3 linked regions of the Drosophila melanogaster genome follow. The protein of the gene in region 2 interacts with the protein of the main gene of each other region in a pairwise test. Each region holds a gene or a part of one and is shown on either strand. Other genes may lie near its edges.

Region 1 (10,811 bases), on a different chromosome or scaffold from region 2:
TCTCATTGCCATCGATGGAGACTGCATTTGCATAATGTTTTGAAGGTTAATACGCGGGCACACACAAAAAAAAAAGAGGTCTTCGTCCATTGGATTTACACCTTTCACTCTCCTACGATGGGTTAATGGTTGCTATTTACATACACACAAATCGGGCCAAGAGATCTCCATCTCCATCCGCGCCTCATAATGAGACCTCAAACTTGGCATTGGCATTCGGAATTCTCTTGTGAAAACAAAAGAAATCGAGACAACGACTAACTTTTGACGTATATTTATGAAAGCCAATTAAAGTCAAGTGTCATTGATCAGATCTGGGAACGGAACTGGGAACTGGGATCTGGATCTATCTATATATCTAGACATATTTATGCCTGCCGTATAGAACCTGCTTCCCGCGAAAACAAAAACGGGAATTAGAAATATGGTCTGCATAAATTTGGGGCTTAAAAATCAATTAAAGCAAACGGTACTGACGACAGCCAAACAATTCCTAAGAGGGATAAAGCTTCTGATGAGCCTCTAAATCAGATTGCAAATAAATTTAAAAGGTTAACTAGGAAGTGAGCGGATCGCACAGCTGTGAAGTGGAGTGCTGAAGACAAGAAGTTGATGGCGATGGTCTATGAAGATGAAGATGAAGATGGTTAAAGATGTACTCATTTCCGTGCTTGAGTCACCGGAAAATTGGCGCGTCATCGGTTGAGAATTCCTGTCCAGAAATTGTGAACAAGTGAACGAGAAGAGGTCACCCTTGGAGTTGGAATGTACTAGCTGTGGTTGCTGCCAAGATTGGATCAATCCGATCAAAAGTGGCCACAATGCGGATACAGAATACAGAATATATGGAAAAGTATACAGTTACATGCGTGGGGCAACTTGATCACCAGATATCATTTATATACATATATATATATCGCCCTCTCGACTCGTCATCGCGACAACCTTGAGACCGGCGTCATCATCGTATCGGATTTCAGAAGCAGCTATAAAATAACGACCATTTAGATACTCTATACGATTTGTTAGTAAGCGGTATGAGTATAATATTTTGTGACTGTACTACAGAAAAACTTCGATTTTTCATAAACTCGCTCTTTGAAATCATGCTCCTAATGGGTTGTTCTACCAAGTCATTGACACTAAAATATGCTAATTTACAAACATTCATAAGTAGCAAAAGTACCCGATCATAAAGAGTAAAACAATGCAAATCGCAGACACCAAGCCATCAGATGACGACGATGCTGCTGACCAGGCCAGCACGTGACCGAGAGAGACCGAGAGAGATGGCTCATTAAGTCAGCTAGCAAGCAGGTTTCGACTGCTCGATCATTCGGCCCCGCGCCTTGTTGGCCAATTAAGCTGAAGCGAATTGATGAGACCCACTGGATGAGGATGAGGGTGCATCACATCCTGTGGCCAGGTGGCGTCAAGGTCAGGTCAACACGAAAACAAATGAAGACCCGTCGGCTAGGATGAGAGGGAAATTTACGACCGCCTTTTATTGGCGTCTCTGCAAGCCATTAAAAAGTGAACTAATGAGACACTTAGTGGGCCGGAATCGTGGCCTTTGAGGAAGGGGTACCATTTTTATGGCCAATTTGACTTAGATTGCGGCCAATTCAATGCGAAGCGGCGCACATTGATGGCCCAAACAGACTGCAAATTACGACAAGACAGCCCGGCCACCGAGTCAGTCTTCAATTGCATACAAATGTCGATCACTGCACTTGGAAAAATTTTTATAAAGACTATAACTTGGTATGCTATACAAAAAGTTTACCTCTGCATGTAAATACACTGCACTAAATAGTTAAGGTTAAAAATTTTAAATAAAATATTTATACATTGAAATCAGAATTATATCATATCTTTTCTTATAATATTTACCAAAGCTCAAATATTTTTCCAAGTGCAACCGAAATATTCAAGCGACAACTTGGACAACTTCCGACAGTCCATTGGGCAATTGAAGGCGGAGCACGTCTTGGCCAAATGGCGATCATGTATGCTACTTGGCACTCGACCAGGTGGGCCAGCTAATGAAGAAGCGACCAAAAATCGGCTCAGACAGAATGTCCCCCAAAGAGCACGGATATGGGCACGAGCTATATAAGCCACTGGTCTGGCTCCAAATGAACATTATCGCTCAAGTGCTTTAGACAAACCCAACCACAGCAATATGTACAAGTTTGTAAGTGATCCTATGGGGATTAGCGCCCAAACAATGTGGACTAAGAGGTGGTTAATGATTACCTATCCTATTTTCCAGTTGGTTCTCGCTGCCCTCATCGCCTGCTCTGCGGCCAAACCAGGAGTTGTAGCTCCACTGGCTGCTCCTCTGGCTGCTCCCCTGGCCTACGCTAATGCTCCTCTGTACGCCGCAGGTGGCAGCAGCCAGGTGGATGTCCGCAACAACTACGACGGCACCCTGTCCTCCTACACCACCGCTCCGTTCGAGTTCGCCGGCCCCTACTCCAGCCGCTATGTGTCCGGAATCCCAGCTGCCCCCGCCGTGGTGGCCAAGTACGCTGCTGCTCCTCTGGCCGCCGCCTACTCTGCTCCTCTGGCTGCTCCCGTCGCTGCTCCTCTGGCCGCTGCTCCCGTTGCTGCTCCTCTGGCCGCTGCTCCCTATGCCGCCGCTGCCTACTCCGCCTATCCCTATGCCTCGCCCTACGCTGCACCCTACCTGGCATCTCCCTACGCCGCTCCCTACGCTGCATCCTATGCTGCTCCCATCGCCGCTGCTGCTCCAGCTCCAGTGGTGGTCTAAGGACACACCTGTGAAGCAGGCCAAACTATAGGAAATTTTTGATAAACAAAAAAAAAAACTGATAATAAATTACGAACCAACAATTAGAGCGCACCATCTTATTATTTGCAGAAATGCCTTGAATAATTAACGAAAAACGAAAGTACTATTATTTATCGGATATTTTTGGTTCATGAAAATTCAATTGGACGCTCATTTCGATTGGGTCAATATATATATATTTCTTAAGAAAATATAAAATAACTTCTTTACTTAACTATGATCAATTTTTGATTAGATGATTCCTTTTGTGCAAGTGGTTTTATTAAGCATCCATATATTTCCAGATTTCAGATAGAGGAAGTTATTTAATTTTTTTTTAGAAACTTTAGAACTTTCCATTTAATGCTCTGAATTTCTCGTTTCTCACTCATTTCTTTGATATGCAAAATAAGCTTGTTTATTGGTGGATATCATTTAATACAAATTATGCATAAATTATAGGTCTGCATTTAATTTTTAATGGAATTTTTTCTAACAGCTGCATTGAATTTTAAAGATAATATTGACAAAGTAGCAACATACATAAGTTAGGGACTTAGGGAAGTTAAAGTCAGACAACTTGGTCACCATGTAAACAATATTTGTTGTGATTGCGTTGTCACCTAAGGCGCAATATCGATTGTTATTTATGGTCAAAGCAATATTTATGGATTATCATAATCATATTCCACTCATGGGCAACTGTCAATGCCTGGGCTTGGTTGGCCCCATGTTATATAATCATGGGCCGTGCTTTCGAATCGCCCAAGAAGTTATTGGCCCCTCGATCGAAGGCAGTGCCATTCGCAGTCGCCGTCTCAGTCACGACTTGCTGACCAACTAAATGGGATTGGGTTGCCTCCCTCCAAATGATGCAACCCATTAAGTTAGGTGAGTGGGCCAAGTCGTCGTCGAAAGTGAAGAAATGCAAGTGCAAGTCTTTTGATTGCGTACCGCCTTCAATTCGCTATAAATATTAATTTAATTTGACAATGCAAAGACATTAGCAGCCGAACCAACAGGTCGAGCACATCGATCGAGAAGCTACTGCCCCAAAGAAACCGAACTTCAAATCCCCCAAGCAAGATGTGGCAACTGACATGGGTAAGGACTGCAAAGTTCTTTTGACCAAAGATATTAATAGGTAACCTAAATATTTTTAGGCCTTTGCATTGGCTTTCCTGCTGGTGGGTGGTGAGGCAAAGCCCTCTCATCTTCACTACAATCACTTCGATCCCCACCATGTCAACCACTTTGACGGACATCATCTGAGCCACTTGGATTCTCTGCATGCTCTGCCGCACCACTTGGATTACGCGGTGCAGGAATCGGTCCTTCCTCCGCCAGCTCCTTTGCTTCCTGCGGTGGCTCCACCACCAGCATTTGCTCCACCACAACCTGTATTTGCTCCAGCGCCTCTCTTACCTGCTCTTGCACCATTTTTACCGGCTCCTGCTCCTCTTCTGCCCGCTCCTGCACCACTTCTACCAGCACCTGCACCACTTCTACCAGCTCCAGCTTTTCTGCCAGCTCCTACTCCTCTTTTGCCCGAGTTCCATGTGCCCAGTGTCACCCATCAAGTGCTGCCGCCCGTCCTGGAGGCGGTGCCCTTTGCACCCACCTACCGTGCCATTCCCGGACCGAAGACCACCACCCACCGCGTGTCCATTGGCTACGCCTTTCCCAAGCTGCTGGCCACGCCCCACGCCCATCTGAAAGCCCTGCCCCTGAAGTTCGCTCATCACCATCACCACTCGCTGTGGTGATCATCCCGACCTTACGGATGATGAAAACCTCACCAAAGAGTAATTAGTGTCAGATAGGATATGTAAAGCTTAAATCTACAAGTCTACCTGCATTATACAATAATTTATCGAATAAATATAGTGAAATAAAAAACGAAACAAATAAAATTCATGCATTATACAATAATATATCGAATAAATATAGTCAAATAAAATGAATTATAAATCAAATTACATTTATACTCAATTTAAGGCTCTGTTAACCTTAGAATTCAATCATTGCGTTCTTAAGCAAAATATATGAAAATATATTCAGTATTCCCGCACATTCTTACCAATTATTTCCAAAAATAGAAATCCCAGAGAATGTAACTGCGGTTGATAAAATCATAGGCACACCAAAAAATTAGCAAAAGGAAACATATTCGCTATCTGATTCAGACTCTCATTACGAACCAGACGCCTCGTAATGTCGCCAAATGGGGTTTCATTTATTCGGCCAACACACACACACACAAACTATTGGCAACACACACACACACACACTCACAAGTGGGGCACAGAAATGTTGTTAGTGGATTTCGAACTGCACGCAACATGAAATCAAATCAGAAATTCCAGACACAAACCCGGCCCAAACACGCGACAATTGTTGCAACAATAAACAAAAAGCGGGTGGACGAAAAAAAGTGGTAATTCAATTAAATGATTGAGCCAAGTAACACGTACTCTGGGTAAATAATTGCAGCTCATTACAAAAGCACCACCCACCGAAAATATTCGAAAAGCCCCAACTGTCATAAACCCGACCGAAACCCAAACGAAATCTTGCCCAATATTAACCTAGGTTATGGTCGGGAATTGCGTGCAATTATGAAAGTTTTCGGGGGCGATCGACGTAAGAGGCTACCGATTGATTATTAAGTACATATGTACATATATCGCACCGATCCAGCAACGCCCTTCATCAGCTCCCAATATAGAAAGTCTTCCAAGGTGTTTTCGTATGCGCGTCCATGGATATTCCGTGGGCTACAGAATTATAAAAGCGTTACCCAGTGGACAATTGGATATCACAGTTCAGTCTGCCTTCAAGCTAATCACACCTAGCAAATCATACCCAATCCCCAAAATGTTCGCCAAGATTGTGGTGAGTTGCAAAGGATGTCCGGATCTATCGAAGTGGATTATAGATATATACCTTCATTTACAGCTCGTTGCCCTCTGCGTGGCCTCTGCTCAGGCTGGTCTCCTTCCTTTCCATGCTCCGGCTCCACTGGCTGCTCCACTTGCTCCTGCCTTCGCAGCTCCCCTGGCTGCTCCTGTGGCTACCGCCGGAGTGGTGGCTCCATATGCCTCCAGCTTCAATGCCCACCGCATCAACCACGCCGTGGCATACCCAGTGGCTCCTGCTCCAGCTCCAGTGGCCTTCGCTGCTCCCCTTCCCGCTCCCCTGCCCGTTCCAGTTGCTGCTCCCGCTCCAGTGGCCTTTGCCGCTCCTGCTCCTCTGCCAGTGGCTGCTGCTCCTGCTCCGGTGGCCTTTGCTGCTCCCGCCAAGGTTGCCTTCGCCGCTCCCGCTCCGGTGGCTGCTCCTCTGGGCTTCGCCCCTGCTCCGGCGCCTGTTGCCTTCGCCGCACCAGCCAAGTTCGGATTCGGACCCTTCGCCGCTCCCCTGGCTGCTCCAGTCCCAGCGCCTCTGGCTGTGGCCCCCAAGTTCGCTCCCGCCCCATACTTCTTCTAAGGACTTAGCTGTAGGATCACCCAGCTCATACACTCCCATCCGTCCTATTAGATTGTAGAAACTAGCCCAAATCTTCATCTCCTAGAGAGCAGCAATGCTTGGCGAATAAACAATTATCCATTAATCAAATTTACAAACGTGTTTCTTTGAGGAAGTTTACTTGGTAGCCTCTCAGTAGTATTTCCTATTATAGCTGCCTTGGATTATACCATCCAAAATCATATTTCAAATTAATACTGCTCTTAAAAGTCGAACATCATTAGCGGATAATATATAATACCTTCTAAAACCATATAAACGGTTTCTATATTTTTTACGGATTTTTAGGTAAGTTTTATAGAATCATTCATCAGTGATAGCAGCAATGTTAAACGTAATGATTAAAAGAATGATTATTATTATTATTTGTTTTTATTTATAAGTTAAACTATGTTTTTCTAGGGTATACATCGCTAGAACCTAATGTTTTTGACATGACCAATCCTCTGGAAGAGAGGAACATGTTCGTAGGGCGTGTGCGAAATGGGCACCGAATCGTAGGTGACGTGGGCAATCTTCGTGAGAGGTGCCACAATGGTGTAGCCAGGATGCTGAGCCAACTCCTGGGGCGTTGATGCAACCGGCAGAGGATGATGATAGATCACCGGGTGATGGTAGATAACCGTGGCGGCAAAGGCACCACTCAAAAGGCCGAATAGCACGACGAGCTAAAATAAGATCTATCAGATACAGATACTAATAAAGGAGTACTGAGTATCTATCCTGTTTACCTTGAACATTCTCTGGTGATATTGTGGTCAGAACTGCACTTGGACTAAGCTGAATGCAGCCGAAGGCCAATCAATTTATAGGCTCGTCTTCATCGCTGGATTTTCATAGCGCTTTTAAACAGTTAGGAGGGGTAAACCGGTTGACAATCCCCTGAGATCAGCAACTGCATTTCCCTTGCTACCAGGAACCTGTTGCAACATCCATGTAGTGGGAGCACTACTCCACTTGGCCTCTGGTCCCCTTCTCTTCGAAAAGAAACCCGTTTTCAAGTTCAAGTTTAAAGCGTCAACGCCGAAGATTATCAAAGAGTCAGTGACTCTTTTGTGCACTTAATTATGGCACATTGGGTTGGTTGGTTGCTTTTGTTGTCTTACATTTCTCGGCTTTTTGTTTGTTTGTTTTTTTTTTCTTGGGAAGTATGAGTTAGTTGGTCACACGTCTGCGGATTTGCCTTTGTTTACCCATTTGATGTCTCTTTTCAATTTTAATCATTGCCCAATCTTGTGTTTTTCGAGCTATTTTATGTGGCTTTGGAGGTGTTAAGAATTGATTAGTTTGACTTTATTCAGCGGCTGTTCGAGCTCTTTATGCTAAAGCGGTTATAAACGTTGTTTTAGTTTTAATACTAGCACACTCCCTACAACGAAGTTGCTTTTGTGGCCAGTCTGACACATACAAATTTTGCTTAATATATACTTGTGTTATAGATTCGTGAAAAATAGATTTTGAAATATATTTAAATTAAACCTACGAATATATAGCGTTTTTTTGGAGGAGTCTATACTTTTACTTATATAGTTCTCTTCTTTTCTATACTGAATAAAAATAAACAGACCATTGACCCGAAGTTCAGATCTTAGTTCTTGATCAGATCCAACCGGAATCACATGAAGGAAACGAAGGAAAAGGCCACCCACCAGATTTAAAATGCCCACAGGCCAAATTAAAAACTGGAACTGGAACCATTGTGGACTGGTAAATGCCAAACTCGATTGCAGATTATACAATGCTGGCCCAAAAGGCAAAAAAAAACAGGTGTTGGATTTTCTTTTTATTTACAGCAGCTACGGATGGTTTTGTGGCATGCCGCTAACTTGGGCAACTTGTCAGGCGAATTAGATTTACTTTGTGGCACTGCTCATTAGATCACCGATGTCCATGTGGGGATGCAATCCACTGAACTGGGGTTTGGTATAAAAGAGGCCTGCTGGGATCAACTGCAGCAACACAATTGGTTAAGCCGCCACAGAAGCAGCCGGAAAATTACCTACAGCAAGATGAAAGGAGTAAGTGGTACCAGGATATAAAAGGATAATACAATTATTAATAAAAAATACTTTAGAAAATATAAGCAATTTTTTTTACTTAAATCATATAAATAACATTTGTCTTTTCTTCATTGAAAGCTGCTACTCATTACAATCGCCTGCTTGACGACCTCCATCCTGGCAGCTCCTGCTCCTGAACCCGCTCCAGAACCATCTCCGTCTCCAGCTCCTGCTCCATCTCCATCACCCAGCATTGGAATCGGAATTGGTCATGGCTACGGTGGATATGGCCTGGGATTGGGTCTAGGAATCGGGCACTACGGAGGACTCTACGGGCACGGCTATGGCGGGCACTATGGAGGTCTTGGTCTGGGATTGGGCTACCATGCACCCATCATCTCCAAGACGATCATCGGCAAAAGCTACTTGGGCGGCTATGGCTATGGCCTCGGTCACGGATATCTCGGAGGCTACGGCCATGGACTGTACGGAGGACACGGTCTGGGTCTGGGTCTGGGTCTGGGATACGGACTGGGATATGGCTATGGCCACGGTTGGTAGAGGTACTCCCAAGTCAAGTAAAGTTAAGCCAAATGGAGCCGGGACGAGCGTGTGAGAGTTTTCAATCAAGTCATATACTTCGCAGTACCCAAATCTTATTCAGTCAGTCACTCAGCAAGTCAATAAATCAATAAAGACAAAGCAAAAAATGTACAAAAAACTAGAATCATGGTCAACCGTTTATTAAAACTGGATCTTTTTTTCTCACGGTTCTTTGAGACATATTTATAATTGTCTTAATTGCCTATACTAAACATATATTTTGATACTTAATGTAAGTAAAGCACACTTTTGATGTTCTGAACAAAATATATAACATTCGTTTACGATTTCAAAACTTTGGCTATAAGGAACATCCAAATACTGAAATCTGAAAATAAATATCTGAAAAACAAAATGAAACTGAATATTTGAAAATTGTCAGCACGTTTTTCATATTGCCTCAAACGCTTGATCAAATAAAACAGTTTTAAGTTTAGTTTTTAAATTCAATCGAAATATATTTCAACATCAAACCCACTCTTCACAATCTGTTTTTTAACAATTTGATTTCACTTTACAAAACCTTCACTGATTTCTCTCTCTCTCTTTTTTCTCTGTGTATTTACATCTCATTTCTGACCGATCCAAACAAAACGAAATGCATGCGGAAAACGATGATGGGTGGTATGGACCTCGTTTACCATCCATGAGCGAGTCCATAGGCAGGAGCAGCAAGAGCTGTCTTGTAGCCCAGTCCCAGAGGAGCACCCAGAGTAGGATATGCCGACTTGTAGCCCAATCCCAAGGGAGCGGCCAGAGGGGCGTGAGCTAGTCCCAAAGGACCATGAGCCAGGCCAATGGGACCGGGACCATATCCCAATCCGTAGGCGGAAAGGGCCGGAGCAGCCAGAGGAGCGTGCGCCAAGGCCGGGGCGGCATAGCTAAGCCTGGGGGCCAGCCCGTAAGAGGCAATCGAGGGAGCAGCCAAGGCGTGTCCATAGGAGATGGCCGGAGCAGCTGCAGTCAGCGGCAAGGCCGGAGCAGCTAATCCGCCCAAATAGCCAGGAGCAGCAGCAGCGCTGGCCAGGCAGAAAACGGCGAAAACGAACTAGTTGATGGGGGAAAAAAAAATGAGATACTAACAAAGGACTTTTCAGAGTATATCAATTCCACTTACGTATTTGAACATTTTGGTTTTGGTTGCAAGTTGAACTCGTGGCAAGAACACAAAGCTGAATAATGCCGCTGTCTAAGGCACAAATGCTTTTATAGCCCACAGACCTGGCCAAAATGCAGCACGAGAACGGATCCAAACTGGCGGCCCAGAGACTTTTACTTTTGTTCAAACGAGAGACATAGGCATATTCGTAGCCCAAAACCGAGTCCAAGAGAGCCACATGCAAAGCTGGCCTGTCGAGTATCGAGATGGCGATGGAGACCTGGGACCCACCGGAGCACCACCTGGCCCCGCCCCAGACAACGCGGATGTGGGCCTGGGCTGCGATTTGGCCATACCCTTTCGGTGGTAAACTAAATGAGAGATTGTTTTTATCTAATGAATAATAAGGATTTTAATACGTAATTAGGAAAGTCATCAAATGAAATATTACATAAATTATTCATTAAATTTTTGATTCTTCTACAAGGATAGTAGTTATTCTGTGAGTTATTCGGTTCACAATAATGAAATATTTATATTTACCTATTTACACTATTAGAACTTATTTTGTCTTAATATTTTTAATATATTTATGGAAATTTCAATCTAAATATATATTATCTATTATAAGTATTATGCTGTTTATATTGAATATTCATAATTGTCTCCAGTCAAAGGGTATTTCCCCAATCGATCAACGTTTCGACCATTTTTGTTTTTATTTTGAATAATTTCTGATAAATTTGTTTTTGGTCTATTTACCTAATGCCGAAGCCGCGACAAGGTG
Region 2 (11,348 bases):
AACAGCCAAATGCTTCCTCCCGTGAAAAAGAAGACAGGGATAACGCGGTGATTGCCAACACTTAAATGGATTAATCGAAATAATCGACAGGATTCAGGGTTAATCGATAGATGCAATGGATGGTAGTTTCATGCAAATAGATAACCTTGTGTGGGATCAGTAACTATAGTTTAGGTTTCTTCACCCTTTTAACGGTACGCCACCTGCACAGTGGGTCATGTTCTAGAGCTTCCATGGCGAAATGTGGGTCACCATCATCGGCGCCGTTTGCAGACAAAAGACGCGGTTTTTATTTCACTTTTCCTCCACGCTCTGACCCAGAAGTGTTTCTTAACCAAACAAATCAACCTGTGATGGGTGCGCGCATAAATTTGCAATCGCACTGGAGCGACTTGATGAAGAGGTAAAGAGCAAAATAATAGATGAAAAGAAAAAAAGTAGAAAAAAAAAGGCACAGAAAAATAAAACAATAAACCAACGCGAAAGAAAATGAAATGTGCTAAAACGGAAGACAGCCGCCAAGAGCTGAACAATAAAACAAACATAAAATGCAAATGGTTTTCTTCGTGGGTTTGTATGTATGTTTGCATGTTTGTTTGCATGTATGTATGCACATATAAATATATACTATGTGTCTTCTAGCCCGTTCCGTTAAAATAAAACAGAAATTAAGCCGTGTGATTTTTCTAGCGCTGCCCTGACCACCAACAACACAAAGAAGTAGCAAAGCCGTCAGCCGGAGATTTGTTTGACCCATTTAAGGCCGCCTGGTCGTGAATGGATGAATGACATGTGCACAAAGCTGCGACGGCCGGCGACCGAAATGCAAATGCCTGGCAATGGCATTGGCCACTGTCGCACAGTGGGCCCAATCGTCGCAGAGCAGCATGCACAAATATGTGCATCATAGCTTCAAGGAATATTTGCATAATTTACTAAATAAATTACTTGTTTGATAATTTTAAATTATAAAATTAAATTATTATTATTAATTAGCTTAAAAAAGAAAAAAATCTGATTAACTGCTTGTAGGATATACATACATAAAAACATATAACAAAATCTTGTATATAAAAAGGTATTTCTCACATATTTACTATTAAATGATATTAAAATGTGGCATATGCATTTTTTCGAGCAAACACGAATAATTCGAATTGAACCCACACTTCCTAGTATCACTTTTATTCGCTGTAAGTTCCACTGTGCAGCGACTAAATGGTTAGGTGGCGGCGGGTAAAGGAAGATGTGGCAACCGCAACAGGGGCATGTCAAAATGCTAAACGATAAATATTTCTATGTATTTCACTGTTGGCTAATTGTTGTGACCTCCTAATTTACTCAAGAAGAACCTGAGATTTGAGGCGCTGGAGAGTCGAGGGAACCCCTAGAACACTTTGCTTGTTCTTCGCATTTTTCCCATTTTCCCACTTTACCTAATCGTTTGGGCCAATCTCAGTGGATTCGAGTCGAGTCGAGTCGAGTTGAGTTAAGTTCTTTTGGGCCTGGTTGGCTGGGCAACGAAAACTGTTCTAACGATGATCGCGTAATTATGGCTAACAGTTTCGGTTTTGCTGCCGTTTGCCTCACATTTATGGTCGGTGCTGTAATAACTGTTACACTTAATGAGCCAGGCTTAGTTTTGATAATGTATCTTTTTTTGTTTGGCGGCAAAATATCCCAAGAAAGACTTCCAATCAATAGGTTGTCCCATCTATTTGGATTTCCCTTTCGCAGCAATCAAGAAATCAGTGGCAAAGAATCGAAAATCAAATTGCTTTTGTTTTACATTTTCGTCGTCTTCAAAATGCACTTAAAACGTTTCTAAAACGCAACCCATAGAAATTTACAGGGTATGTGAAGTTGATGCGACTGAAAACTATTTTATGATATTTCTTTTTAAAATTTTGGAAATACTTTAGTTCTGGCAGCTTAAATCATTTGGCAGATGAACTTAAGCGAACTTTGTGAATGGATTGTTTTTCCCACTTGTTTTTCCCATCGATTGGCCCGATATACCCTCTAGATTGATACCCTCTAGATGTCGCACATAAAAATGAAAGTTAAATGCGATCAATCGCAGATCGCCCCACAGCATCGAGATCGTGGCTAATTAATGACTTTCCGTTCGTCTCGTCGCATCCAAGTTAAGTTTCTAACGGTCTGGTCTGGCGTAGAATGTCGCGCCGCCGGCACCTGTTACGCAAATGAACGATCCACCAGATACGTCCATATATATATGCATATGCATATAGATAGATAGCTTCAGCTGATCGCTTCACTCACCTGCTCGTCGATGGGACAGCCGCGGGCATCGAGTAATTGCTGCGTGGATTCGCCCAGTCCATCGAGTGCCGCACAGTCCACCACCCGCACTCCGATGTTTCCGGGCACGATGGCTCTCACCGTCAGCGTGGTGGCGACGCCCACCTCCACGGATCCGGTGCCATTGGGACCGCCCAATTCTAACCAGATCCTAACGCGTGGCGTCTCCCGCTGCTGTTGATTGATGGACGAAGTGGCGCCGAGAGCTGGAACTGCAGCAGCAGCTGCCAAGGCTCGCATCCTGGCATTTCTACATATATATATATATATATATCGAATCATAAAAGAACTTCTCCATCTTGTTACATTAACTAAAGCATTTGTAGAATTACCTATCGTGACCCTTTTCCTGTCGCAACACCGGAAGTGGCATGCCCATCGCATTGGCCGGAAGTTGGCATCTCACCGAGCTAAGGATGTCGGTGCTCTGGCGCAACTTCTGCTCCTTTTGCAGCATCACACGCACCGTATACTCCAGACTGCCGTCCTCCAGTGGCTCTGCCCTCACTCCGCAACCCGATGTTGGGATGCGCAGATGCAGACGCGTCGAGTCCTTGCCACGTGCGCGACACTCCAGCGGAAAGTCCTTGGCGTAGAGTAATCCGCGAAAGGGACGGCTCAACTCCAGATGCATCTCGAGCAGCTCCCGGCTGCAGTTCACCTGCATCGCCTGGATTTGCATGGTCTTGGTTGTGGTGGTGGTGGTGGTGGTGGTGGTGGTGGTCGTATCGTTAATGAAACTTTCCGGCGTTCTGGTTGTCCAGGCAGCATGACACAGAAACTGCGGCAGATGCAACACTCCGATGGCGATGGCCAATGGCAGCAGCTGGCCGAGATTGAAGGATGTGGACGCGGCCGAGGCGCTGGAGGAGAACATGTTTCCGATTTCCCGTTTTCTACCAGTGGCAACGGCAAACCGCCCCGCCGATGATCAAAACCGCAAAACGATAATGATGCCACTTGTTGCTGCTGTCTTTGGATGTTGCTGCTGCTGTCACTAGATGTTGCTGTGTTGGAAGCGACGACACCTGTTCGTGCGGCCGCGTGGCTAACTCTTAATTGGCCTACTCCCAGTCCAAGTTCGAGAATCTTGTCTGCGAAATGGAAATGCATTAGTTGCATACATAGCATAGCGATGATTTTGGGTCAAGTAATTACGGGGGGGGGGGGGGGGGCATGGTGTGTACTTGTTGCTGCTGGGCTTTCGTGTTTAAATGGGTTAACTAAACTGGAAATTTTGTACTTCAATTGTTAAATAACTATTTAAAGGTATAGCTAGCAATATTGATGATTTTAATCAATTGTAGGGCTAATAGAAAAAGGGAAAGGGGCACAACGCTGTCACTTTATGTAATTTTTAATGGCCAAATAAACGAGAGGCCAATCTGGGGTAGCCCTTCCCTGCCCATTTTCGATGCCATGCGATGCGATGTGATGCCAAATCCGCGACGAAAGCGGGTCAAGTTTGTCCCATATTTGTTTGATTGGATGGAGTCTATAAAGCAATGGAGCTATGGAGCCATGGGGCTACCGGGCTAAAGATGTTGCAGCACGGCGAACAAATAAATAAATAAATAGATGCGATAAAGGCAAACACCGAAGCTTAAATCAACATCAACATAATGCGTTTGCAACTTTGCGTAATCCTATTTTGTGATGTTACTAGCTGGCAGCTAGTATGGTTGGTTATTCGCTTATTGTGCTCTCTATTTGTATTTGTGATTCCCATCTCTTATTAACTTGACTGGGCATTGTAATCAGCCCAATTAACAATATAACTTGGACTCTACTTAAAAACTAAATATACAAGTATGTATGTATTTGTATCTTTCGAAGTGACGGTGCCCTTCACTCGTTTTGAGTTATTTCAAAATCATAGGGCTTATGTCCTTAGTCCTTAATCTTACAAATTAATATACTGAGATATTATTCAATATAACATGTGTGGTTACAATTGTATAGATGTTTTTTTGTCAATAAACTTATACGATCCTTTCAGTTGGTCCTTATTCTAAATCGCACAGATAAGTTCTTTAAATCTAAGTGTGATATTTTTTTAACCATTTGTTTTTACTGTAACTTGACATAGTTTTTTTTTTTTATGTATAACTGATATTATTCTTACCTTTTAGAACGAATTTAATATCCTTTCATCATCCCAATTTTAGCATTCTTTAAGATTTCGCGTTGAGCTTCTTCTCTTTTTCTATAACACTTATATTATAAACAGTAAAAAAAATCACATTCCTTGCGCAATTATGCGGTCAATTTGAATTGCGAAAAAAAGCAGAAGAACCGCAATTTTCAAATTGGTTAATTATCAGCTACTACGCATGCGCGCACTTCGCACGCTCTCAACGAACAGAAACAGTAAACACCGTAAAAAAAAAAACAAAACACTAACTGCTATTGAACAAGTGGATGAGATCGCGAAACACGCCCGTTTTGGATTGAAGAAGTCTCAAGAAGACAAGCGCGCGCCACCGAGTGTGCAGATGCAATGCACCGGGCCAATTCCGAGTCCAGAAGTTAGCCAAGTTAGTCGCGAGCGCAGACCGCAAAACAGTCAGTACAGCAACAACAACAATGAGGGAAGGGGCCAAAAGCGGCAAAAGACGTTGGCCGACGTCGCGCATGCCCAGCGATGTTTTTTTTTGGCGCGCAAGCACCTATTCAAATTGCGCGTTATCGATAATGCGCATGTATCGATATTTTGCGATCTATTCATCGGCACAATATTTAATTTATTTATTATATATATTTTAGTAAAGAAAATACACGTTTCACACAGGCAATGATCGAAATTCGAATAGATGTATTCGCATTTCTCGAATTTTCGTTTTTCTTTTCAAAAAGTAGCAGTTATTTGATCGAAACAAAATTAATATTGGTCGATATATGGAATGTCATACCTCGTTGAATTTGTAATAAAGTTTCAAATCGAGTGGCATTTACAGCTCAAAATGTTGGATTTTCATGATCTATGATCTACGCAGAGTGAGTCGATGTATGAAAGCGGAAGGAAGCAAGCATTTCTACAAAGCGAGTATTTTGTTGAAAATTGCATCGATACCTGGTATCCGATAGTTAGTTTCGGCCAGCAACCTGCGACTGGTCACACTTGCAACTTTTTACGTTTTTTTTCGGCAGTCGTGCGAATTAATTAATTAATTCAGTTGATGTGACCAGGATGAGCCACAAACGCTGCCTTGCGAACGAGGTAATCGAATTCGTCCTGCCGGCCAATAGCGATTACTCGGACGAAGACAACCGTGGAAACGTTCGTGTGATTAACACTAGCGATGATGCCACCTACGTGCTTCTGGACAACCTGGGCAACGAGTTCGAAGAGGACATCATCATCGTCAATGAGAACGGCGTGGAGAAGGAGATGCTGATGAGCAAGGAGCTGCGCGACTTTATAGTGGGCTCCCGGGTGAAGGATTTGACGGATGACGAACAGATGCCGCAATTTGTGGTCAGGGAATTGGATATGAGCGAAGTGGGGGATTTGGTGGAGGTGGAACCGGAGATGGAACAGGAGGCGGACTATGGCGACTACGGCGACTACGAGCACGAACCTAGCTACGGCCATCCGCGCGATAACGAAAGGGTGGAAGAGGATCTGGATATGTATCCACCGTCGTCACCCTCGCTGCCACCATCGCCACCAAGGCCGCCGTCGCCTGTTGTCCAGCCCGCTAGCAAAGCTAGAAATTCTGCCCGCCAGATCGCCTTACGTAGCTTTGTCAGCCAAAAAAACAACGACGACGATGATGGTAGCGTGAAGGAGGTGAAGCCAAGCGAAAAGATGCTGGAGGAGTTCAAGGGACCGCGTCGCTACATGCTTTTCGACGACCTGATAGCCACCATTGTGGACTTTGACGAGGATAGCACACCCCTTGTGGAGTTCTCCATGATCAGCGACATCATGGACGAGAAGCTGCCGGTGGAGTGCGGCATTTGCCCAGATGTGATGCACAAATCAAAGCTGTCCAAGCACCACAAGACCCATCTGGTGCCTGGCACCAATCGCTATGCTTGCATTTACTGCACGGAAACGTATCGCGACTGCAAGTACCTGGCCGGACATGCGCGGCGCCACATGGGCATCCGTCCATACGTCTGCGAACTGTGCACCCTATACTTTTCGACCAAGCAGGATCTGCGCGTGCACAATCAGCGCCGACATCTGGAGAAGGAGCATATTTGCGAAGTGTGCGGCAAGACGTTCGCCCAGAATACCCAGCTGAAGCGGCATCGCGAGGCGACGCACGAGAAGAAGCGGCGATTCCAGTGCGAGTACTGCCAGAAGGCCTACTACAAGAATTTCTCTCTGCAGGAGCACATCCGCAATGTTCACATGGGCAAGCGGCGGATGCTCAAATGCCCATTCTGTGGCATGCAGTGTCGCGATGCTCACAAGATGGCCCGTCATCGTAAGGAGATGCATCTGAGCCAGGGCACATACGTGTGCCATTTGTGCCAGGAGGAGTTCACCGACATCAGCTACTTCGATGCCCACAAGCGTTCGATTCAGTGCCGTAGCAATACGCGTCGCTTTGTGAATGCGGATGGGAATCGTGAAGGATCCGATTCGGAATCCATTTCCGGTCGCAATATGAATGGCCAGGACGACGATTACGACGGCATGGGCCCACTGCAGGAGGAGTACGACGAGGATGACGGCCTGTTGGTTGAGGACAATCAACCAGAGGAGCAGGGTTCGCCGTCCAATCGCCAATATTTGGACGAGAGCGAGCAACAGTATGTGCAGCTATCGGATTACGATGACCAGCACCTGCTGGTGGAGAACGCAGTGGACGCAGAGGATGGCGGTGAGGATTTAGATGAGCTGCTAACCGAGGATCAGTACTTTAACGCTGTCCAACAGCATCACCAGCAGCATCAGCAGCATCATGGCCGAGGGCAGGACTACAACGACGAGCTGATATATGAAATCACCTTGAAGACTGAGGATAACTGAGTGCCGCAACTCCGCGCAAATTTTGTACATATATAGGTCGCAATTAAATACTATCATGTAAAGAATTCATTCGCTTGACTTTGTTTTTGAATGGCAGTACCAAGTTTTTTGGTCGAATGCAACCCAGTGTGTACAAATCCGCAGGGCTGTATTTTAAAGGGCATCAAGTTCGGACTGTTGATTGCAACCAAGGGGTCAAACATCGCGCCTTTTGGTTGTACCAAGGGGTCATTGCGGTTTTGGCAATGGAATTTTCCACTCATTTTGCATTTAGCAAGGCCCCGGTGACGTCAGCACGGGCTATACAGCAGGAGGAAGTGAGAAGGAAATAACTTTAGCTACAGCACTTATTGCTCCATTTCGATAACGATTATTTCGGGTGGAGATGAACTAATTTCAAAACTAAATAGACTTTTATGTATTAAATACGTATTATTCAATGATTTATTGTTAATTATTATTGACAAAATATGGTAAAGCAGTCATGAGACACTTTTTATTAAAAAAAAAGATCATGTATATTTGCTTAAGCCTGCACTTCTCTTGTTTTGCAACACTAATGGGGCGGGCACCACTGACAACAGAAGTAAACAAACGTAAAGACAACATTTTTGTTTCTACCGGAAAAGTAGGCGAAATGGGCAATGACCACGAAACCAAGGGAACCCGGGATCCTTCGATCAAACTTCTCCAGTCACACAACAAACCACCTTGATTTGGAGCAGAGTTGCCTTCAGAAATTCCGCACAACAAAGCGATTCTCATCCAAATCTCGACCTGGCATATATTTTAAACAATGGACGACAACGAGGATGAGCTGGAGGAGCACCAGGAGCTGGTCAGCGACGGCAGTGTCGAGGAGGAGGAGGAGGTGGAGCCCGATCTGGGACCAGTGGACAGTTGGGAGTCCTTTAATGACCGCATCGATGGCCTGATCTTTAACGAGCGATGCGACAAGTCGGTGAAGAAGTTGGACGAACGCCGGCTGGCGATACTCAACCGGGTGCGTCAGCAGTTCCGCGAGGCCCCGAAAGGCGTCGCCGAACGTTGCCAGGCCCAGAAGTCGCCGATTGATCAACGGCTGGAGTTGTCCAGTGAGCGATTGAACGAACTGGTGCGCTTTGGCAAAGAACTAGTGACCAATGTCCGGGTGGCCAACGAGCGAAGGGAGCTGAATCGCCGACTCTTCGAGGGTGCGCAGAAGAATCAGATGCATGTGAAGCTGCAACGCGAAAGCGTTGAGACAATGGCCCGTTTCGAGAACATTAAGGCGCGCTGGACGGAGCTGGAGGAGACCAATGAGCCGATGCTGTTGTGGGACCAAATCGAAGAGCAAAAGAAACGCATTGCCGAGATTATGGCACGCAAGGATGAGATGATATCTGCCTGCCAAGCGGAGGTGGACCGCATGAATGCCAAGTACGAGTTCGATCGCGAGCGGCAGGCCCAGGATCTTTGTTGTCTGGTGGAGCGCGTTGATCACCAGGTGGAGACGCTTAAGGAGGCCTACAAGGAGCACATCCAAATGCTGCGGCAAACCATCGAGGAGGAGCGTCAAATCTTCGCCGATAATGCGGTGGAGAAGTGGCGCACCTTCTTCGATGCGATGAATGCCAACTTTGACGAGAAGGCCAATTTGGTAAGGGCACGCGAGCAATTCTATGCTCGCCAAACCCAGCAGATCAACGAGTCCCAGGAGGAGCTGACCAAGAGCACTCGCATTCGGCTGGAGAAGGAGTGCGAGAGGCTCGAGCTGGAGCTACGTCGCACGCGCGACAATGTGCTGATGAACTCCGAGAAGCTGGACTACAACTATCAGGTTCTCCAGAAGCGCAACGAGGAGAACGTGATCATTAACAACCAGCAGAAGCGACGGGTGGCCCGACTGCATGAGGCGATCGGACGCACCCGGCGTGGCCTGAAGAATCTTTACAACACGGGCAAGCGGAACATAGCCCGTCTTTCCTCGGACATCTACAAGCTGCACTCCAACATCAACGATATGGAGTCGAAGGCGCATCAGGCGAGGCTGAACAATCGCGAAAAGTTCGATCGCATCTGGGAGATCAACTACAAGGAACTGAACCTGCTGGTGGATCGGGTCTACCACATCGATCGCATCATACACGAGCAGCAGTTGGCCATGCCGTGGTCCAGCCCCGTGCCACCCATTCCAAACATCAACAAGGCGAAGAAAAAGCGCAATAACATTCTGGAGAAGTTTGACATGCGAATTGGCCGGGTTCCCAAGAACAGGGTGATGCCCAACTCGGGCGTAAATTGCAAGCCGGATATCAAGGAGCTTCCGCCGGATTCACTACGCTTGATGCGTAATCTTATTCGCAAGCTGTCCGATCGCGGCGGTTTCCTCATCGAGGAGCGTCTGCTAAAGATTCTTGAACCGTATTCCGAGGAGGAAAAATGCCTGGTACGCATCGACAATATATTTGCGGCGCTGCGAATTCGTCATCTGCGGGATGTCAAGGAACTGACCAAGGTTTTCATGCCGTACACCTACTGTCCGAATTGCCAGCCGCAGGGATTGAGTCCACGCAAGTGTGCCGAGGTGTTCATGAAGGATCAAAAGCCAAATCGGCTGCAGGGCGCGGCGGGTGGCCAACCGGATGAAAAGGAGCATAGGTCGACAGGGGATACATTTCTACCCAAGAGCGAGGTGGCGGCCAAGAGATGTCACAATCACTATCTGGTCATGGAACCGGCCCTCTGCCTGCACGCCATGAATCTGTTCACCTCCAAGATGCACAAAAAGATGTACGAACACGAACCGGGTAGCATTCTCAATGCGGTAAATCTCATTCAGATTACAGATGCGGAGATCCGTAATTTCTGGCGCCAGTTCTCGGCCTGCTTCCCGGCCTCCAAGTGCAAGCTGTGGAAGACACTGGAGCACGGACTGAATCACTACGTTGAGGTGCTCAAGATGCGTGTGCAGTACGATGCGGAAGTCGTCTTTCTGCGTCGCCAAAACGAAGAGTTGCGCCATCTGCTGCAAAAGTTCACCGTCTAGGTGCGATATTATTCAATTACAGCCTCAACCGCAATGCACATACATAATCCCAAGCAATTATTGTCCGATTTCACTGCAAACATGATAAATTATAATTGTGCCTAGGTCTTGCTCTTTGACATTGACATCGAAATAGTTTAGAGACGTGGGGTCCCTGCACGGGCGCCATCTGAAAAAGCTTGTTTCATTCAAGAGTCGTGCAATAAAAGTATATTTTGAACATGAAAACCTTGTGATTTTAAATATTTAAAATAATGGAACCCCTCAAAGTTAAATATTACTACGTCTATAGCTCAGTTTGTCCCGCTCTAAACTATGAACAGCTCTCTGATATCATTATTAGTGCCTAGCATGAAAAGAGCTCTTTGATAACATTTGTGAGGGGTTTCCCCTTGAGTCCTTAAATTAATCTTAATACCATATCTTTGAGATAAATATGACTTGTATTTGCTTCATAAACTTAAAGTACCCATCCATCCCCTTTAGAAATATTCCCAATGCCGTCCATGCCGCTCTCTGGTCCACCAAACTGTCGATCTCAGATGTTTGATTTGCTTTTCATTTCATTTCGAACTTTGAGTCCGTGGGAACTAGTTGGCGTTAGATGATCTCTACGACGGGGAATACCTTCGATCGCTTACCTCCCACAGCTACCATTTCACTACTGGAAGCCAAACGATTAGAACTTGTTGCACTTGTGTCTTATGTGTCTTATCAGGGCAAACCGATAAAGTTGAGCGGTAGACAAGAAAATGGTTATACTACATATATATGAAACCACATATTTAGGGTAGTCCACGAAAGGGATCGTCCAATTGGCTCAAAGTGCGCACCGCCAGCGTTTAAAGTGCAGACCGGGCTAATCATTCATTTATGGGCAAACTTTATGGACGACATTTCGATAAAATAATAATACAAGAGCAACCGCAACAGCTTGTTCTATTGAATTTCATGGCAAGCAACTACAACTGCGACCTGTAATAATATACTACATAATTAAACACGGCG
Region 3 (11,348 bases), on a different chromosome or scaffold from region 2:
AGTCCTCAAGGTTACAAATATTGCACTAATATATATTTGTAATATTGTGGAATATTTAAATTACCATTAAAGTTTTTCAGTTAACTTATTCAACAAATTGTTCTTACCACAAACAAAGCGGCCCATATTTTTGGAGACGTCCAGTTCATGTTCACCGACATTTTTGTCTCGTAATCATGTTTTCTTCTGCAACAAAGTATAAGTACAATTATTTCAAAATATAGACATGTACATCACTAAATATATACACATTTTTTGCTGGTCAAATTTGTTAACATAATCCCAAGGCCCTATCCCGAAAACGGCCTTAAATAATTATTAAGTAAAACGACACCTTCTAATCTAAACAAGAATTAAATAAGCTCCAACATGAGGTACATTTCATTGATGGACTCGGCTGGACTTACTTTAAATCCCTTTTGAATGTTGGATATTACAACTAATGTAAGGGGGAAAAACTTGACGTATGGATTTACAAACATGGCTAGATCGACTAGACTTTTGATGATGATTAGAAAGATATATACTATATAGGGTCGGAAACGCTTCATTTGACCTGATACATACTTTTCAACGATGCCCGGTTGCCCTTTTACTCAACGAGTAACTGTTATAATTACAACAATAATTATAAAAATTTAAACTCAAATAATTCAAATATTTCTGGGCTTTTTTCGGAAGCCTGAGAAGAAAACGATGTTGAAGGATATTCTCCTGTGCGATAACCGCTTCAACTGTAATTGCTTTTATCATATGCTTCCGTTGTTAATTCCCATTAATTATAAACTGTGACAATCTCTGCTCGCCGCATTGCAGTTTGCAGTCCCTGTAGAGGGTACGTATGTTCGTTTAGAGAACAACCATGTGAGAACTATAAATTCAATAAGCAAGCATCAACGGGGGACACGTGAAAGTCAAAATAAGGTTAGACAATAAAAAATGAAGAAGTTTCTTTTTCGATTCAAAGCACATATGCATGTACATATATGAGTTTATATAGGTAATAATGTTTGCCTAACGACAGAAATACGACACAAGACACGCTTTTTACAGAGCAAAAAGATAGCAGTAACTTTTCACTAACAGCCAAAACTTTTTGGTTTCAGCTAGCAACGCCTTCTAGATGTAACTATTAATGACATATGCAATATAAATAATAAGTGCATGTGATTCGCTATAAATTATTACTTGCTACTAAATATTTTGTGAGTTATTTAAAGTAAAGGCACCCGAACACAATTTCAAAGGTCAATTTGTAAACAGTTGTTAGTCATTTGACCCATAAATCCAATAAAAGCCAGATTTCTATAATTCTATAATCAAGCGATACAGTTTTATTTGTTTTTTAATCAGATTTTCTAACTAAAAGCTAGATCGACTACCAAAAAATAGATCAATTCACAGTCGCCGATATCTGGAGCCTAGCCGTACCCAGTCTTTTTCACATCCTCGCTCCTTGAGTGACGTATAGGGATTTGTCACTCCACAGGCACTCTCCAATTGCAATGGACCCACACCGAAGACAGCAGATGCTGCAAGTATCATGACCGAAATAAGCTTCAACACTTATACAGGGTGCGGCAGCATAATATTATTTCTTCAGAACTCATTGAATACTATTTTAGGCATCGGAAAATATTTATGAGATAAAGCGCTCTGGAAAGTGTTCCGTCAAAATAAGTTACGTTCTGAAAGTTCCTGCACTATCGCCATCTTATACGGATGAAAATGAAGATCATCATGAAGAATTCTTCTCACAGAACGATCGGATAGTCCAAAGGCAGATCCGTGTTTGGACGCAGAACGCCGTGGGGATTGCAATATTGACGCTCGTACTGCTTCAATGTTCTTAGGCGATCTAACGGGTCGAGGGATTCCAGTTCATCGTTTTGTCGCACTTGCAGTTTGCCTGAATGTAGTGACCCATGAAACAATTGATTTGCGGTCTGGGACGTGAGCCAACGGAGCTAAATTAAAGCGATACCGAAATGCACGCTGTGCTTCCCGCCGTGCGGGAAAAACTTTGCAGTAACCCCTCTTGAATGGGACCACTATCGCTCCGCTATGACATCAATTAACTGAATAGCGTGCATTTTAAAAAAAGGAAGTTATGTTGCCGCACCCTGTATCTTCAGCAGCAAGATTGTTTCGCGATGGTACAGCCGAATGGACCAACGTACAAAATATAATGTGTTCATTCGGGTTATAATACCTCCTGCTTTCTAGCAAAATGGTGCTGACAGTTTGGAAGCAAGAATTTAACGAAAAAAAAGCAAGAGAGAAAATCTGTCCGTATGAATATCGAAATCTCAGGAACTATAAAATCTTGAAGGTTTAGATTAAGCATACGGATTCCAGAGACAAAGACGCTGCCCAAGTTTGTTTGCTCATGTTTCCACTCCCACTCTAACGTCCAGAAATAGCACAAAACTGCCACACCCGCACTTTAAAAAAAATTGTTGATATTTTTCACATTTCTATTAGTTTTGTAAATTTTTATCAATTTGCAAAAAACACACCCACTGTAACGTCCTAAAACCGCTAAGCCGGTCACGCCCATACTTTTGAAGAAATTGTAAATTTTTTCTCATTTTATTCCCCGATATCCCAGAAATTTCGCGTACGCATTCACACTAGCTGAGTAACGGTTATCTGATTGTCGAGGAACTCTACTATAGTATTCTTTCTTGTTTTCAATTTATTAATCTACATCTGCTTGTATACTTGAAGTTGAGTATAGCAGAATTCTTCTTGTAGTTAAATTGTTATACTCATTAAAACTCGCTTTGTCACTTTGAACCTTCTGATAGAAAGCTTTGAGTCCTTCCAATTCCACCTGCCAAGCCCTTCTCAAATTGATAAAGATGTTAAAAAAAAGTTCTGGGTGAAGTGACCACACGGGTACGGGTACGGGCAGGACTTGACGGCAGAATCATATGAACATCCCCCGGTCAAGACGTTTTCCACATTGGCTGAATTTTCATTCATACCTTGGTTTTTTATGCACCCGAACCATACAACCGACAGTCTGTTCGGCACTTTACACTGTCGCTGACTTTTTGCAAACTTTTTCCGCATTACCTTATTCACACTTGTTTTAGCACCCCACGCTCAACAAAAATTGTTCTTGGATGTTTTACAATTTACTTAAAAAGCACGACGACATTGTGTGAGTCGTCGGAACCTTTTTATGCATTTGCCGTTTATTAAGGAACTGTCGACATATGTGAACACTTATGTACATTGCTTGGTTCCCGTGTGCCGAGTTCGGATTGGGCCTATTAAGCTTTTGTGTCTCATTGTGTGCTTTACAAAAATACATTGGGACCGGGCATTTCGTATTCTTATTAAATCTTTATTGGGATTTTGTCCGAAACCTAAAATATGCACTCTTCGACGGTACACATATAAAGTTTCCTATACTTTTGTTGGATGTTATCGGACTTCGTACATGGATTGAGTTCAATTACTAATGGGGGTTGGGATAATAATGTAAAATCTAGCATAACGATCCTTGCTTTCGATAACTCTTAATTTTAGTCTTTAGGACCCAAAAGAAATATTGCATTTTTAAAAGCACTTCGTTCGGCAGTTTTTCTCTCAACTCAAGTCTTTACAATATAGAAGCTTAATCAAGTGGGTCTACCGACCTATGCTTCACAAACCATGCAAGTTATAAGAAAACTGAATAAAAATTAAAAGTTTAGTAGGATTTTTGTATGTAGACAAGTAAAGTTGTCAGACTTACGGCAATCAGAAATTAAATGGCTTGACTCGCTCATCTAATAAAAATCCAAGATCCATTTTCAAGTTTATCGGAAGCTTCCACACTCAAACTAAATTAAAATTTAGATTGACGCAATTGCCACTCGTTGGACAATAAGTATCGTTTTAACTTTTCGTGCGACAAAAACGATGGAACATGCTTTTCCAAAATGATGCATTTGACGGTTTAAGAGTATTTTAGGCTTATTGCTCCTTTTTCTGCGTTGTAGTTTCTAATTATGATTTATATAATAGTTGGTTTGCCTGTCGTTTTTTATAGAGCTTTGTTTATATTACTTTTGGTTTCATATTAAATGTTACATTTTATTGAGTAATTAAAATGTATGTTCTAAGTAAAGAAAAGAAATAAAACATATAATTTTTGTCAGCATAAGTTAATTTTTTATTATTGAAATTATATTATTTCGATCATATATATCATTTCACATATTTTGTAAATTTCTAGTATTATAATTTTTCACTTTGTCGAAAACACAACATAAAGTATACTTTAAATATTTCGGCTCAAATTGGTCGGTAAACGTTTAACTTTACATTTTTTGAGCAAAAGGTGACTGATAATATTTGCAAACGGTTTTAAGTGGATAATCCTAGACCACTTAATCACGTAATTTAACTGAATCTTTTTGAATATTTGTTGCTTTCGCACTACAACAACACCGTCGCGCACAAAGCAATACATCAACTGTGCAACGTGAAAGTCCCCAATCACTGAATTTTCCTTTACCGTTAGCACAGCCCGCGAGCTCGGAAAATCACTTGAAAACTGTTCGCCCGCGTCGTCATCATTTTCATTTGCCGGCCGTCTTCGCGCAGCAACAATGCTGCCGAAACATTAGAACGAGCTTGACTCAAAATGCGAGCAACAATGCTGCAGCAACATTGGAACGAGTGAGTTTTTGAATTCGAGTGAGGTGAGTTCTGGTTGGTGAGGGGTAAGTGAGGTGAGTTCTAGGTGGTGAGGGGTATTGTTTGAGTGATTTTTTTTTAATGTGGAACACAATAATGAGAAAAAGAAAAAGCTCTTTTCTTTCCCGAAAGCTGTTAAATTCAGCAAGAGAGCTATTCTACAGTTTGAAGCAGCTTCACGAACCATTTCTATATTTGATGCGTGGGCACCGGTGGGCAAATATGTACGTGGTTTAATTTTTAAAAATTTATGGAAATTTACAAAACGAATACAAAAATCAACAAATATCAAAACGTTTGTCAAAAGAGAGACAACATGGTACGTGTATGTAAACAAAGCATTATTTTGGGCGGAAAGGTGTTTGGCTATGGTTTAATTAAAAAGTTTTATTCAAAATATACCAATTAGGCGTTCTGTCTTCCCCGGGTTGAAAATATTCAACTGTTGTCCTCCTTTCAATTGACCAATATCTCTAGTTCCTGGTTAGTTTTCCACGTTTTTTAGAAAAAATAAAATATCTGATATAAGCGGGATCGCAAGTGGAGAATAGGGTACAGTAGAGTAGAGTTTCCAAGGCTGCTTTATCAATGATACGAACCTGAACTCAGAGGTGACATGAGGCCGTCTAATTCGAAAGTTTCAAGTGACGCTAGAGCAAAAGGAGAGAAGAGAGAACGCTATAGTAGAGTTCCCTGAGTATCAAACACCCATTACTTATCTAGTGTGAATGCGAACGCCATATTTCATAATTTATAAAATAATTATCTTGTTGTTGGCAAATCGATAGAAATTTACAAGACTAATAAAATTATGAACAAATTTGGAAAAATGGTTAATGGTGCGGTTTTAGGGCGTTAGAGTGGGCATCTCAGCCTTCTAGTTTTTATAGCTCCTGAGATCTCAACGTTCATACGGATAGGCGGACACATGGACATGGCTAGATCGACTCGGCTATTGATCCTGAGCAATATGGTTGGAAACGCTTCCTTCTGCCTGTTACATACCATTCAACGAACAAACGATATCCTTATACTCTACGAGTAGCGGGTATAATGAATACCAAAAACACTTACGCCATGACCTTCCACCGCATTTTTTACAAATTTTGAAACTTCTTGTCGGAAAATTTGACTTTCGGATCTCTTGATTTTTTTCGTTTTATTATTTGTCTGCCAAATTTCTGTCGATATGCCGTGGCGTGACCCACTCTTACACCTACAAACCTCAATAAGTTTTCAAGCCCACAATTCAAACCTTTTTTTAATTCCTACCGCAACGCCAACAAAATTTTTAAATATTTTCCTAGAGAATCGCATTAGCTATGTAATGGGTATCTAATAGTCGTAAAAATCGACGATAGCGTTCTCGCTTGCTATACTTTAAATATTACTGCGTGCGTAGAATTTCGAAATGCCGTTTGATCGAAACTATCATAAGTCGTTAACTTTAAAGGCTCGGCATCTATGAGCAAATGAGAATATAACTAGCTTTCACTTAAAGTTTATTTTTCATAAGATAGTTTAAGCGATAAAGAAATATATATATATAGATTAGATTATTTTTAAGAAAAATAATTTAGAAGAAATTTAAGCGGATGTATGTAAATTAATAATAGTGCTTAGCAATATTTATTTATGGCTATATAAACAACCACGATTTCGACGCGGAAAATTACGTGGAAAATTACGAAAACGTCATTCTGTAAAATAAAAGTTTAAAAACTATAAAGTAAACATGCAAAATAACTATCTGATGAATCTGTCACGTGAACTACTATCGATCAACTACTGGTTCCGACTATCGAAAATATCAAGAATTGTCCCAGCTCTATGGTCGCTGCAGCGCCTCGCTCTTTCCTGTCGAAACGCCGTTGAAAGGCGTAGTGTTTTTTTGGTCCGCGAGAAAATCTCCATACATCCAAAATGGTAGGTGCCCAAAGTCAGAAATAATAGCCCCATATCTACAGAAAAGGCCTAGAGGCGACCTGCATTAATATCTTTAATGCCCAGTGCAAAAAGTGCAGATGTCTCAACCATTACTTGGTGAAATGATGTGTCCACATATTTTCACGTTTGCTTGTTGTGTGTGTGTGCATTATGGTGAAATGCAAGACAAAGACTAGGAATGACGTATGCAATTTTCTATTGAAATTTGGCTAGAATGTGATCCTGTTTGGTGCTTGTTGTGAAATACCCAAGGAATAGATGTATATTGCTATATTTATCGATGCCCATACTCGCGAGTGAGTGATTTGTGGTTTTTAGTTCTTATCTAACCTCAAAGACCTTTGCACGACTGTGAAGACTTAGTGTGTGTATGGACGCCATTTTTAAATCAGCACTGTGTATAGATCGAGTGGAAACTCGTTATAATATGTACATAACGATGCCTTATTTATTTTACAGGTCAACTTCACCGTCGACGAGATCCGTGGCCTCATGGACAAGAAGCGGAACATCCGCAACATGTCTGTGATTGCCCACGTAGACCACGGCAAGTCCACTCTGACCGATTCCCTTGTGTCGAAGGCTGGTATCATTGCCGGAGCCAAGGCTGGTGAGACTCGTTTCACTGACACCCGCAAGGACGAGCAGGAGCGCTGCATTACCATCAAGTCGACGTAAGACCAGTCATGTTCCAGCACCCACGGCTTTTTTAATCCGCCTTTCATTATTGCAGTGCCATTTCCATGTACTTTGAGGTGGAGGAAAAGGATCTGGTGTTCATTACCCACCCCGATCAGCGCGAGAAGGAGTGCAAGGGTTTCCTGATCAACTTGATCGACTCGCCCGGTCACGTTGACTTCTCCTCGGAGGTGACCGCCGCCCTTCGTGTAACCGACGGTGCACTCGTTGTTGTAGACTGCGTCTCCGGAGTTTGTGTCCAGACCGAAACCGTGCTGCGTCAGGCCATCGCTGAGCGTATTAAGCCCATCCTATTCATGAACAAAATGGACCGCGCTCTGCTTGAGCTGCAACTAGATGCCGAGGAGCTGTACCAGACCTTCCAGCGCATCGTCGAGAACGTAAACGTTATCATTGCCACCTATAACGATGACGGAGGACCGATGGGTGAGGTTCGCGTGGATCCCTCTAAGGGATCAGTGGGCTTCGGTTCTGGGCTTCACGGCTGGGCGTTCACCCTCAAGCAGTTCTCTGAGATGTACTCCGAGAAATTCAAGATTGATGTTGTCAAGCTAATGAACCGGTGAGTCATGTCTCAAGTTTGTTTGTAAATGTTTTCAAACTTCTACCACAAAACGTGTGGCGCTTAGCGGGCGGCTTCTTGAAAGACATCTCCGCAAGGAAAGTCCTTTTAGAGTCTCTCGTGCTGACGGCGCCACAAGTGGACCTTAAATAGAAGAAGAATAAACTTTCGGATGCTGTTTAAACGCTGACTCGGGACCGCTTTCCTAATGTTCAAACGAGTCATGTTAAGGCAGTTACCTTACACTAATTATTTTTAAATTGTATACAGAAATCTTTTATTGTTCACATAATTTCTTCATATATCTGAAATCAATTGTTGTTTGGCCTCATATTATACAAATCGATATATTCGGACGTCATTTTTGATATCTAAGACTTAAAATTTATAAATCAAATTTGCAACAAATTTATTGGCTGAAATGAATCATTTTGTATTATACAAAATTTCCAGAAAAATAATATTAATTATTTTTTTAAATAAGCGATTTGAACTGGTCATTAAGCATTTCATTAAGTGATAAGTAGTTAATAAGAAATATCTGAAGGCACAATTAATCGTTCAACTTCTTCACAGATTGTGGGGTGAAAACTTCTTTAACGCCAAGACCAAGAAATGGCAGAAACAGAAAGAGGCTGACAACAAACGCTCGTTCTGCATGTACATCCTGGACCCCATCTACAAGGTGTTCGATGCCATTATGAATTACAAGAAGGAGGAGATAGGTACCTTGCTCGAGAAAATCGGTGTGACTCTGAAGCATGAAGACAAGGACAAAGATGGCAAAGCTCTGCTGAAGACTGTGATGCGCACCTGGCTGCCAGCCGGCGAGGCTTTACTTCAGATGATTGCTATTCATTTGCCGTCGCCAGTGGTTGCCCAGAAGTACCGCATGGAGATGCTGTACGAAGGTCCCCATGACGATGAGGCCGCTATCGCCGTTAAGTCTTGCGATCCTGATGGTCCTCTAATGATGTACATTTCTAAGATGGTACCGACCTCTGACAAGGGTCGCTTCTATGCTTTCGGTCGTGTGTTCGCCGGTAAGGTGGCCACCGGGCAAAAGTGCCGAATCATGGGCCCCAACTACACTCCCGGCAAGAAGGAGGACTTATATGAGAAGGCTATTCAGCGCACAATTCTCATGATGGGTCGTTACGTCGAGGCCATCGAGGATGTGCCCTCTGGCAACATTTGCGGTCTGGTCGGTGTTGATCAGTTCTTGGTTAAGACCGGTACGATTACCACCTTCAAGGACGCCCACAACATGAAGGTTTGCAGCGTTTTTCATTTTCTTCTTTTTTTAAGCAGCATACAAATTTATTATTGACTTTTAAAATTTTTTCGTTTTTAGGTCATGAAGTTCTCCGTGTCCCCTGTGGTGCGCGTGGCTGTTGAGCCAAAGAACCCCGCGGACTTGCCTAAGCTGGTGGAGGGCTTGAAGCGTTTGGCTAAGTCCGATCCTATGGTGCAGTGTATCATCGAAGAGTCCGGCGAGCATATCATTGCTGGTGCCGGTGAGCTGCATTTGGAGATCTGCCTTAAGGATCTAGAGGAAGACCACGCTTGTATCCCACTGAAGAAGTCTGATCCCGTCGTCTCCTACCGTGAGACTGTGTCGGAGGAGTCCGACCAGATGTGTCTGTCCAAGTCGCCCAACAAGCACAACCGTCTGCTGATGAAAGCCCTACCTATGCCAGACGGTCTTCCCGAGGACATTGATAACGGCGATGTGAGTGCCAAGGATGAGTTCAAGGCTCGTGCCCGTTATTTGTCTGAGAAGTACGACTACGATGTGACTGAGGCCCGTAAGATCTGGTGCTTCGGCCCCGACGGAACCGGTCCGAATTTCATCCTCGACTGTACCAAGTCCGTGCAGTACCTTAACGAAATCAAGGACTCTGTTGTCGCTGGATTCCAATGGGCCTCAAAGGAGGGTATTTTAGCCGACGAAAACTTGCGCGGTGTCCGCTTCAACATCTACGATGTGACACTTCACGCTGATGCCATCCATCGTGGTGGTGGCCAGATCATTCCAACCACTCGTCGTTGTCTGTACGCTGCCGCTATAACCGCCAAGCCGCGCCTGATGGAGCCTGTTTACCTGTGCGAGATCCAGTGCCCCGAGGTTGCTGTAGGAGGAATATACGGTGTGCTCAACAGGCGACGTGGCCATGTATTCGAGGAAAACCAGGTTGTGGGCACTCCCATGTTCGTTGTGAAGGCATACCTGCCCGTCAACGAGTCATTCGGTTTTACCGCCGATCTGCGCTCTAATACCGGAGGACAGGCCTTCCCTCAATGTGTCTTCGATCATTGGCAGGTGTTGCCTGGCGATCCGAGCGAGCCCTCAAGCAAGCCCTATGCCATCGTCCAGGATACTCGTAAGCGCAAGGGTCTTAAGGAAGGATTGCCCGATCTATCCCAGTACTTGGACAAGTTGTAAAGCACCACCACCCGATCCCCCACAACATCCAAGTGCAGCTGGCTGAGCGGAAAAGCATAGAAAAATATGGAGTGACCGAATTTAACATCTTTATTCGGCAAGGCACTTGAAACATCGCCTTTGGTCAATGTTTTAAAACAAATAAAAACAATAAAAATTTTGATGATTATGAATTGTATAACATTAAATCAAGAATAAATCAAGTAAATGATTTAATACTTATCTTTACATAAATCAGAGCGCCGCTATGTGACTGACACGAGAATTGATTTTGGTTTAATTTTGTTTGCGAAAAATTTACAAATTATGCGCTCTCTTGTGTCCTTGCCATACATTAAAGCGATTTGTCGGTGACGATACCCATATACACTGGAATACGTGAATAAAGTTAGACGCATATTTTAGTTTTTATTACTTAGTCTGGTCGTCCATTTGTGAAAATAATGCAGTCAGCCGTTCCTACCGCGCCGGTGTGGGTTGAAGTCCTTGCTAAGCAATATCGCCGTTTAAGTAAAATGAATATTAACTCGATATCCGACATGACCAACAAATTTTCAGAATGTCAAGTACTAGAAATTTAGGTTTTAAGTTTATTTCTGCACTGATCTATCTATTTATTTGCTCCATTTTTGCTGATAGAAACTCTTGTTGAAAGAAACACTTCTTTGTAAACAGTCAACGACGATTTATGCTGCGCGTGTCGAAAGATATCGATAAAATATTTTGGTACATTTCTGATATCCCTAGATTTGTGAACGTTTCTCTGTCATAAACAAAAGTTTGCTTTCGTGTTGTCGGAAAGTCGGTGATAAGTAGGTTCTCTGGTCTCTGGCATGGGCATTTTCATGTGTGTTTGAGATAAAAGCCCATTGCGAAATTAGAATATTCTCGGACATAACCGTTCAAAGCCGATGGTACCGTGCTTTAAGTGTCGCCGCGGCGTCTGCCATTCGTGGACCCCCTGCCCTCTTCGCTTTGAGTTTTCTATTATTAGCAGCT

What was found.
Region 1: the proteins of CG2116 (region 2) and CG13049 interact in a two-hybrid assay, tested with the Drosophila melanogaster proteins (one large-scale study listed by BioGRID).
Region 3: the proteins of CG2116 (region 2) and eEF2 interact in a two-hybrid assay, tested with the Drosophila melanogaster proteins (one large-scale study listed by BioGRID).

What each region holds. Positions count from the first base shown.
Region 1 is NT_037436.4:16,276,730-16,287,540, reverse strand, and holds CG13049 (uncharacterized protein), read left to right. Parts: upstream 1-5,610; 5' UTR 5,611-5,674; coding exon 5,675-5,692; intron 5,693-5,755; coding exon 5,756-6,283; 3' UTR 6,284-6,409; downstream 6,410-10,811. Other genes in the region: CG13047 (uncharacterized protein), read left to right, coding at 2,186-2,197, 2,276-2,776; CG13048 (uncharacterized protein), read left to right, coding at 3,884-3,901, 3,961-4,563; CG13064 (uncharacterized protein), read right to left, coding at 6,736-6,990, 7,054-7,062; CG13050 (uncharacterized protein), read left to right, coding at 8,332-8,340, 8,461-8,883; CG13065 (uncharacterized protein), read right to left, coding at 9,563-9,973, 10,043-10,054.
Region 2 is NC_004354.4:8,124,404-8,135,751, forward strand, and holds CG2116 (uncharacterized protein), read left to right. Parts: upstream 1-5,408; 5' UTR 5,409-5,515; coding exon 5,516-7,312; 3' UTR 7,313-7,380; downstream 7,381-11,348. Other genes in the region: cyr (cypher), read right to left, coding at 2,287-2,575, 2,658-3,202; CG10958 (uncharacterized protein), read left to right, coding at 8,109-10,340.
Region 3 is NT_033779.5:21,677,312-21,688,659, reverse strand, and holds eEF2 (eukaryotic translation elongation factor 2), read left to right. Parts: upstream 1-6,543; 5' UTR 6,544-6,618; coding exon 6,619-6,621; intron 6,622-7,101; coding exon 7,102-7,316; intron 7,317-7,375; coding exon 7,376-7,903; intron 7,904-7,959; exon of another isoform or gene 7,960-7,990; intron 7,991-8,479; coding exon 8,480-9,176; intron 9,177-9,257; coding exon 9,258-10,349; 3' UTR 10,350-10,747; downstream 10,748-11,348. Other genes in the region: nolo (no long nerve cord), read right to left, coding at 108-161. UniProt on the Drosophila melanogaster protein: Catalyzes the GTP-dependent ribosomal translocation step during translation elongation.